Linked DNA regions of Arabidopsis thaliana. The protein of the gene in region 2 interacts with the protein of the main gene of each other region in a pairwise test. Each region holds a gene or a part of one and is shown on either strand. Other genes may lie near its edges. The genes, in order: AT3G05250 and IDH1.

Evidence for each region.
Region 1: the proteins of IDH1 (region 2) and AT3G05250 interact in a two-hybrid assay, tested with the Arabidopsis thaliana proteins (one large-scale study listed by BioGRID).

The regions. Positions count from the first base shown.
Region 1 is NC_003074.8:1,493,521-1,498,259, reverse strand, and holds AT3G05250 (RING/U-box superfamily protein), read right to left. Parts: upstream 2,689-4,739; 5' UTR 2,626-2,688; coding exon 2,508-2,625; intron 2,222-2,507; coding exon 2,127-2,221; exon of another isoform or gene 2,054-2,126; coding exon of another isoform or gene 2,048-2,053; coding exon 1,968-2,047; intron 1,877-1,967; coding exon 1,821-1,876; intron 1,615-1,820; coding exon 1,502-1,614; intron 1,379-1,501; coding exon 1,317-1,378; intron 1,186-1,316; coding exon 873-1,185; 3' UTR 737-872; downstream 1-736. Other genes in the region: AT3G05260 (NAD(P)-binding Rossmann-fold superfamily protein), read left to right, coding at 1-5, 93-451, 573-595; MEF19 (mitochondrial editing factor 19), read left to right, coding at 2,879-4,576.
Region 2 is NC_003075.7:16,773,326-16,778,191, reverse strand, and holds IDH1 (isocitrate dehydrogenase 1), read left to right. Parts: upstream 1-1,820; 5' UTR 1,821-1,958; coding exon 1,959-2,468; intron 2,469-2,588; coding exon 2,589-2,828; intron 2,829-3,244; coding exon 3,245-3,323; intron 3,324-3,423; coding exon 3,424-3,698; 3' UTR 3,699-4,050; downstream 4,051-4,866. Other genes in the region: AT4G35270 (Plant regulator RWP-RK family protein), read left to right, coding at 1-535. UniProt on the Arabidopsis thaliana protein: Performs an essential role in the oxidative function of the citric acid cycle.

The DNA.
Region 1 (4,739 bases), on a different chromosome or scaffold from region 2:
GTTAAGTGAGTAAAAAAAAAAAACTGAAACTCGAACTTAGGTTCTGAAACTAATTGATCCGGTTAGAGTTAATTGGTCGTAATTTATTGTAGATATGCGTTAAAGCACATGAAGGAAGGGAGCAGCATCATCAATACGACGTCGGTTGTTGCATACGCAGGAAACTCAAGCTTACTAGAGTACACAGCTACGAAAGGAGCCATCGTTTCTTTCACACGTGGGTTAGCTCTTCAGCTTGCACCAAAGGGCATTCGTGTGAACGGTGTCGCTCCTGGTCCGGTCTGGACTCCACTGATACCCGCATCGTTCTCTGAAGAAGCGATCAAACAGTTTGGGTCAGAGACACCGATGAAAAGAGCGGCTCAGCCTGTGGAAGTGGCTCCTTCCTACGTTTTCTTGGCTTGTAACCATTGCTCATCTTACTACACCGGCCAAATCCTCCATCCAAACGGTAAGTTCTAATTTGACGTGGTTAGACCGGATTGGGCATTCCATCAGAGTCCTCTGTTTCTTTGGTTTAACAAATTGATCTCTGTTTTCGTCTATTATAACACAAACGTGTTTTTGTGCAGGTGGTCTTATCGTGAACGCTTGAGCTTGCAATAAGTGCTTATGTACATGACTCTGTTTAGGAAGTTCTTACAAAGAGAGTATATCCAGTAGTATAGTCGTGTGATGTAATAAGGTGATATGTTGTTTTGTCGTTTTTTTAAAAGAAGAATAATATGAAGAAAACAAAAGAGAACAGAATAAAATGGTATGGTTGGTTTCGTTAGCATTACACAAAGTAAAACAAACAAATCGAAACTGGTATATCATTAATCGAAGTTATGAGTTTCTTTATATGGTACAGAAGTGATAAGTGTTTTGTCTCAGTCTGAGTCTTCCTCGAAGATAAACAAATAAGGAGTCACTCGTGTTCTTACATTATGTTCTTCCACTTCTTCTCTTTCTTCACTAGCTGCACCGATCTCTCTTCGGTTGTTCCCCTCTAAACCCTGCTTATAGATTGCATCATAAGCCTCCAAGTTTAGTCCCGCGGCCAGAAAGAGTTCAAGTTCATCCACAAATCGGTCTGTTCTCGCCATTACAAATGGACGTGCTGCTTCTGAGACAACTGCTTTGAATTGTTCTTGATTTGTTGTCTCTGCGCTTCTTGTTTCTTGTTTGCGTCTCTGTTTGATTCTGAATATGAGAGAAATAGAGACTATTCATGAGCAAAACATCAAACTTCTACTTTGACCAGTTAAAACTCTAGCCAATCAAAATATATACCCACGAGTTCTAAGTTTTTACATTCTCCTTAAAACAATTACCTTTTGCAGAAGGATTCCATCACACCGACCAAATGATGCAGAACAATATCAACATCTTCCTCCTATAGACAAGGGAAAAAATTGAAGCAAACAAAGAACAAAATCATCTTTGCGAACAACTGAACAAGAAGATAACAGCAAAAAGGCAGAAATATCCATGAAAGGGATTTTGTACAGAAGCAAACCTGCATCAGAGCTTGAAGCTCCCTCCTCAACCAGGCTTCAAGGCACCGGTTCGGCTGGAGAAACTTTTGCAGCTTCCAAAACCGTGCAACATCGAATACATCGGCGAGGAAACCTGGTTAAGACCACAAAGAGACCGAGAAAGAGAAGGGAATTCTTGTAAAACTTTCATTCTTGATTGATAAACACATTTGAATCTACTTTCTATCAGTTTATTATTCCAAACTAAATCGAGTAACGGATTCCCAACTATTGTAATGGTATTGAATATTATGCGCAAGTGTGTTTTGATCTCAAAGTAAGTGCAGAGAAGGGAAAAACCTGATTCGGTGTAGTAACACTGCAACCTGTATCTCTGTTCTTTTGTTAATACAAAACTGAAAACAAGAAGATGAAAGTAGAGTAAGATATCACGAAATTCTCAGAACACATATATATTCAAATCAAGGAAACCACAAGCTAACCTACCCATCTGGAATATTCGGGTCGATATAATGCCGCTCAAAAGAACATCCATCGTAGTTGTGGATGATGGATAAATTCTCTGTCTGCATAAGTTATGGTCATTCCTGTAAACAAGTTCTTCAAGGTGTTGTGAGCAGAAAAGAGCGTTTCCAAGAAGCAGACCTTACAGAGAGGACATGTCACTGAGGAACGTTGCTTAGAGGCCTTGCTTGAAACAACTTTGATCCATTGTTTTATACAATTGAAACAAAACTTGTCTGCAACAAAACATAAAATCAAAACAAACATATATGTTCTAATCAGTTCATGGACGAAGGTCTCAGTCATTACCTTAACCATAAACCTACTATGGTCTATCTAAGATACACAAGAGCTAATCAATCTAATCTCTTTTTGGAATTAACTAATCAATCTGATTAAATTGTTCACAGAAAAAAAAGATTGAATCTTTGAATACACACTCAAAACTTCAAATTCTAGATGAAATCAAGAAGCATCTAACCACAAGTTTTAACAGAAAACTGAAAAAGAGAAGAAGCGTACGGAAACAGGTATCAAGGTAGGATTCACGGAGGAATTGTCCAAGGCAAATAGGACATGGATCAAAATCGGATCCATCGTCAATAGAACCGCTCCCGCCGGCGATCTCCTTCGCCGCCATACCAACTCACTGACTCAGGTCTCTCTCCGCTTGGCGCTGATTCAGCGTTACGGCGTCGTTGTGACTAAACACAGGTTATATTTTTCTTTTGTTGAAACTTTCAAAATAATCCTTAAACTCTTTCAACATTCAAAATAAACCCAAACTATTTTAAATTACCAAAATTTACCCGTCACTTTGATGAGTTTTTGTTTGTTATGGTTCCAGAATTAAAAAAAAACATTGCCTTTGAATTTCATGATAATCAAAGAATATGATGAAGAAGCACTACAAACCAATTCTCTCTCAGCTAGAGAATTGCAGATCATTGGTGGAACTGAATCAACTCCATGGTTTAATGATCAAATCCTCAGTTATCAGAAACGTCATTCCTCTAAGCCGACTCATAGATTTCTGCACTACTTGTCCTGAGACTATGAATCTCAGCTACGCGAGATCAGTTTTCGAAAGTATCGATTGTCCAAGTGTTTATATATGGAACTCTATGATCAGAGGCTACTCAAACAGTCCAAATCCAGATAAAGCATTGATCTTTTACCAAGAAATGCTTCGAAAAGGTTATTCTCCGGATTATTTCACTTTTCCTTATGTTCTTAAGGCTTGTTCTGGGTTAAGGGATATTCAATTCGGGAGTTGTGTTCATGGGTTTGTTGTGAAAACTGGGTTTGAAGTGAATATGTATGTTTCTACTTGCTTGCTTCATATGTATATGTGTTGTGGAGAAGTGAATTATGGTTTGAGAGTTTTTGAGGATATTCCTCAGTGGAACGTTGTTGCTTGGGGAAGTTTGATTTCTGGTTTTGTGAATAACAATCGGTTTAGTGACGCTATTGAGGCGTTTAGGGAGATGCAGAGTAATGGTGTGAAGGCAAATGAGACAATAATGGTGGATCTTTTGGTTGCTTGTGGTAGATGTAAAGACATTGTGACTGGGAAATGGTTTCATGGGTTTCTTCAAGGATTAGGCTTTGATCCATATTTTCAGTCCAAAGTTGGATTCAATGTGATTTTGGCTACAAGTCTCATTGATATGTATGCTAAATGTGGAGATCTGAGAACTGCGAGGTATCTGTTCGATGGAATGCCTGAGAGAACCTTGGTTTCTTGGAACTCCATCATTACAGGGTATAGTCAGAACGGTGATGCAGAGGAAGCACTGTGTATGTTTTTGGATATGCTTGATTTGGGTATAGCTCCTGATAAAGTAACCTTTTTGAGTGTTATCAGAGCTTCCATGATCCAAGGATGTTCACAATTGGGACAATCGATTCACGCTTATGTATCGAAAACCGGCTTTGTGAAGGATGCTGCCATAGTTTGTGCACTTGTAAATATGTATGCTAAAACCGGTGATGCTGAGAGCGCAAAAAAAGCGTTTGAAGATCTGGAGAAGAAAGATACAATAGCTTGGACCGTTGTGATCATTGGGTTAGCCAGTCACGGCCACGGGAATGAAGCATTGAGTATATTCCAGAGGATGCAAGAGAAAGGTAATGCTACACCTGATGGAATCACATATCTCGGGGTCTTATATGCGTGTAGCCACATAGGTTTAGTTGAGGAAGGACAGAGATACTTTGCAGAAATGAGAGATCTTCACGGCTTAGAACCAACAGTTGAACACTATGGATGTATGGTTGATATCTTGAGCCGTGCTGGTCGTTTTGAAGAGGCAGAGAGATTGGTAAAGACTATGCCGGTAAAACCCAATGTTAATATATGGGGTGCATTGTTAAATGGTTGTGATATACATGAAAATCTCGAGCTCACTGATCGGATAAGATCCATGGTTGCTGAGCCAGAAGAACTTGGTAGCGGAATCTATGTTCTTCTATCTAATATATACGCCAAAGCTGGCCGATGGGCTGATGTTAAGCTAATTAGAGAATCCATGAAGAGCAAAAGGGTAGATAAAGTTTTAGGTCATAGTTCTGTTGAAACAATGTTCTAATTCAGGGTCCTACTTGACCTCGTTATAAACCTTATTTTAAATTAAGAGGTCGTGATTTTCACCTCATTAACAACTAATTAAGATCACTAAAAAGAATAGTTTTGTTTGATTCTAAGAGAACAATAGTACTTTTGAATTAGTTTTCTTTGGAATAAAAGAAAGT
Region 2 (4,866 bases):
TACCAATACTGGGACTACCTCAAATACTGTAACCACTCTGATGGCTGAAAATGCTAGCGCGATCTTGAAGAGAGCTCGTAGCGAAGTGAGACTTCATACCATGAATCAGGATGAAACAAAGTCCCTCTCTAGAACCCTGAGCCACAAAACATTCAGTGAGCATCCTCTTTTCGAAAATCCACCTCGGTTACCGGAGAATAGTAGCAGGAAGTTGAAAGCTGGAGGGGCCTCAAAAGTGAAAGCCACATTTGGTGAAGCCAAAGTACGGTTTACTTTGCTTCCTACTTGGGGCTTCAGAGAGTTGCAGCATGAGATTGCTAGGCGTTTTAACATAGATAATATTGCACCCTTTGATCTTAAGTACCTGGATGATGACAAGGAATGGGTTCTTCTGACATGTGAAGCGGATCTCGAGGAATGTATCGACATTTATAGATCATCACAGAGCCGCACGATCAAGATAAGTGTTCATGAAGCTTCTCAAGTCAAGCTGGGAGGTTCTTTTGGTAGCATCGGTCTTGGTCCCTCGTTATAAGCTATCAGGTATAAGGTTGTTACCTGCAAGAAAAGAAAAGAAAAGAGCAGGAGATTCGACTAATTTACTAGTGTGTTAGAAAAATATTACTCACCATTTTATAGCAATGGGCATCGTTTGTAAACATATTTTCAGTGCCCCCATTTTGCAAGCAGCAGTAGTGGACTGGTTTCCTGCATCGGCTTAGCAGATTTTTTGTATAATAAGGCGATGCGTACCAGAGAAACATGCTTATATGTATGTATTATTATTGTCTGTACATCATTTGTCTTCTGGATTCTACTAAGCTCTGCAAGTATGTTAAATTGATATATCTTCTACATCGTCACTTGTATTTATTTTCTTACTTAACTATGCATGAAATTCTTAAGGGTGCTTTTTGGGGCATCAAAGCTTACTGTGTACAAACATTACAGTCAATAAGGAGTTAGTATTCAGAAAGAAACAAGAAAAAACATTATGCCAGTTTGAAAGTAAGAAAAGGCTAGACGTTTTACTTATATAGGCAATGATAGTCATATAAACACAGAAGCTATTTTTGGCAGAAAAAGTAGAGAAGAAAGTGTATACTTGGATGGTGAGGACACATGATATTTATAGAGATTCTCTTGGTTTTTAAGCAGGAATATGTGTTCAAGAGAGAGAACCACCTAGTGGAGTGATCTTCCAAGTTCCTAACCAGAGTATCTCTGTTAAATCCTCAAATCAGTATTTGTTAAAGAAACAAGTAAGCCTGCAGACAAAAGGTTCTCGTTTTGGTTTGTTTTTGTTTCTTTCTGATTCAGTGAGTGACACAAAGGAAGATATTGATCCTGAACCTATCATTGCCACCTAAACTTCAGAGACAGGAGAAAACAACATGGAAAACAAAAAACCTATGTCAAGAGAATCAGACCAAGTGTACCTGATTGTACCATTTGGTACTAAAAATCAGGATGACGAAGGAGTTGATTCACGTGACTATGCTTCGAATCTCTTAACATTGCCAATCTCCGTGTTTCTAAGACTTCTTTCACCAAAGCCTTGATGAAATTCGAGGGTGCAAGTTATGATTTTGCAAATAATGTAGTACTCTGCATGATCAATGATTTTGCGGCAATTTTGTAAATATCTGAAGTGAAAAATAAGCAAATGTCAAACTAAATTAATTACTGAGTAAATGTTGATGAAGTTAAATGATTGGGGGGATTTGTATAAATATCTTAATTGACGATTCTGAAACAAAGTGGTCTAATCGGTGATTATCTATTGTTTTATGGAAATATCTTAATGAGATGAAGATTTTGGGGCGAATTGTGTAAATAACTAAATTTTAACAATAAACGCTTTTCGTCCGCCTCCAGCTCCCAAAAGCCAAAGGGCGAATCTTCTTCTTCTCTTTCGATCAAATCTTTTCAGATTCAACCCAAAATTGAAGACAAAAATGTCTCGCAGATCGCTAACTCTCCTCAAGAATCTAGCTAGAAACGCGAATGGATCAGGTATTCAAACCCGATCCGTGACTTACATGCCCAGACCCGGTGACGGAGCACCACGCGCAGTGACGCTGATCCCCGGAGATGGAATCGGTCCTCTGGTGACGAACGCCGTGGAACAGGTGATGGAAGCGATGCACGCTCCGATCTTCTTCGAGAAGTACGATGTTCACGGAGAAATGAGCCGTGTGCCGCCGGAAGTGATGGAGTCGATAAGGAAGAATAAGGTTTGTTTGAAAGGTGGGCTTAAGACTCCTGTTGGTGGTGGTGTTAGTTCTCTTAACGTCCAGCTTAGGAAAGAGCTTGACCTCTTTGCTTCTCTGGTCAACTGTTTTAATTTGCCTGGTTTACCTACTCGCCATGAGAATGTTGACATCGTTGTCATCAGAGAGAACACTGAAGGTGAGTACGCGGGGCTTGAGCACGAGGTTGTTCCTGGTGTCGTTGAGAGTCTGAAGGTGAGAATTCCGATTTCTGCTCCTCGTTTTGGATTCAATCTGTATTTGTGGAATCATCTTCGTTTGCAAGTGGTCTTTGTATGTTATGTGTGATTGTTCTGATCCTATTTCTATGCTTAGGTGATCACGAAGTTCTGTTCGGAGCGTATTGCAAAGTATGCTTTTGAGTATGCCTACCTGAACAACAGGAAGAAAGTTACAGCGGTGCATAAGGCTAACATCATGAAACTTGCGGATGGTTTGTTCTTGGAATCTTGTCGCGAGGTTGCGAAAAAGTATCCCAGCATCACCTACAATGAAATCATTGTTGATAACTGCTGTATGCAACTTGTAGCCAAACCAGAGCAATTCGATGTCATGGTATGTTTCAGAGTTATATACATATGAATTTTCATGACGTTCTTTAAGTCTTCGATGTTTTACTTTGAGAAAAAGATACCAGTCATCTCTCCCTAGTTTGGTATCCCTCTAGATTGCCTGTTTTAGAGTCATATTATCTTATTGGTATGAGACTGATGTTGTGTTGCCATATACTATAGTTAATCGCCCCATTTGCATACTATTTAATCTCGTCATTTGCATATCATGCTTTCAGGGAATCTTTTAAATTGTACTTCTGTGACCTTGTCTATGTATACTTACTACTTTGCATACACTATTGTTCGTTAGAGCAGTAACTTCACTGTTGCTAAGTATTAACCTTTCATTACTGTATGTAGTAGCGTCTTTTGGCTTTTCCCCCCTTTTATAACAGCAATTTATGAAATGTTTTGCAGGTAACGCCGAATCTCTATGGGAATTTAGTTGCAAACACTGCTGCTGGTATTGCTGGAGGCACAGGAGTCATGCCTGGAGGTAAAAAAACATCCTGTATTGATATTCTCTCGAGCTATACATTAGTGGATAAAGAATAGTTCTAAAATTTATACATCTGCGACATTAAATACAAAAACAGGAAATGTTGGGGCTGACCATGCGGTATTCGAGCAAGGTGCATCAGCAGGAAATGTTGGGAAAGACAAGATAGTATTGGAAAACAAAGCAAACCCAGTGGCATTGCTTCTCTCATCAGCGATGATGCTTAGACACCTTCAGTTTCCTTCATTTGCTGACCGGCTCGAAACAGCAGTGAAGAAAGTCATCGCTGAAGGAAAGTGCCGGACGAAAGATCTTGGTGGAACAAGCACGACTCAAGAGGTCGTTGATGCGGTCATTGCAAAACTAGACTGACTTTGACAAATTACGTGTTCCCGCTCTGCATAAATCATCAAATTCCTGATACAGATTTTGTGTTGCCAAAATATGGGGTATGATCCAAGCACAACGGTTATCTGGTTTTGTACCTCGAGTTTTATTATATTCTTTAGCCGTGGAATATTTCGATAAGAAAAAAAAACATGTTCCAAATAATTCATGTTGCTACGTTTGTTGGCGCCTTTTGTCATGTCAAAGTTTCTTAAACACTTGTTCGTGGAATATGCAAACTTTTATGGATTCGTAATTTCAAGAATATGAATGAAAAATTGATGGTATCTTTGATCACCTCGAATGGTGGTTTCTTAAGAGCATCCACATTGGTTAATTTTTGATGGATGTTTTTAAATATAAAACTTTATTTTAAGAGGTTTTTGAGTAGTTAAGAAACTCTAACGTGTCATTGTGTGTGTGGTTGAACATTGTGACAACATCATTTATTTATTTTTCTTTTCGCGTTTTTCTCTCTTTTTTAGTCCATATGATTTTTAATATATATATCATATTTGTTTAAAATTTTAATATTTGTATTATTTATTAAGTTTTATAAAATAAAATATAAATAATTTTTATTTTAATAATAATATATTTTTTTAAAAGACCCACTTAAACATTAGACCAAAAAAAATTAATGGTCCAACAAAAACACTTTAATTTTTTATAATTTAAAATTTTAAAAAACCCTTTTAAGGGCTCAACCATTGGGGTTGCTCTTACTCCAAGTCTTTAATTTAATTTGTGAATTAACATTGACTAATTTTAAAATCACTTGAAATTGTTTCATCGGATTTGGGATGTCACATTTGGTACCCGGCAAGTTCGAAAATGACTTTTAAACTTTGACACCTCTTGCCTCTTGGTAGAGTTTTGGATGAGGCTTGAAACTTTTGTATTGCAGCCCATAACTGAAAATAGTTTATTAGTATAATATATCTTCTCAACAAACATTGCAAATATTTTGAAAATCCAGCTAAAACTATACCCGATCAGAATTAGAAAATTTGAGCCCAAGCCCGGCCCGTAAGTATTATTATAGAAACCGATATAAAGTTTCCTTTTTCTTAATAATATTTATTCCGTGGCAGCAAATGCAAGCCAATCCAATGTCAAAACACCAGCTGACGTGGCCAAACGCACATCAACT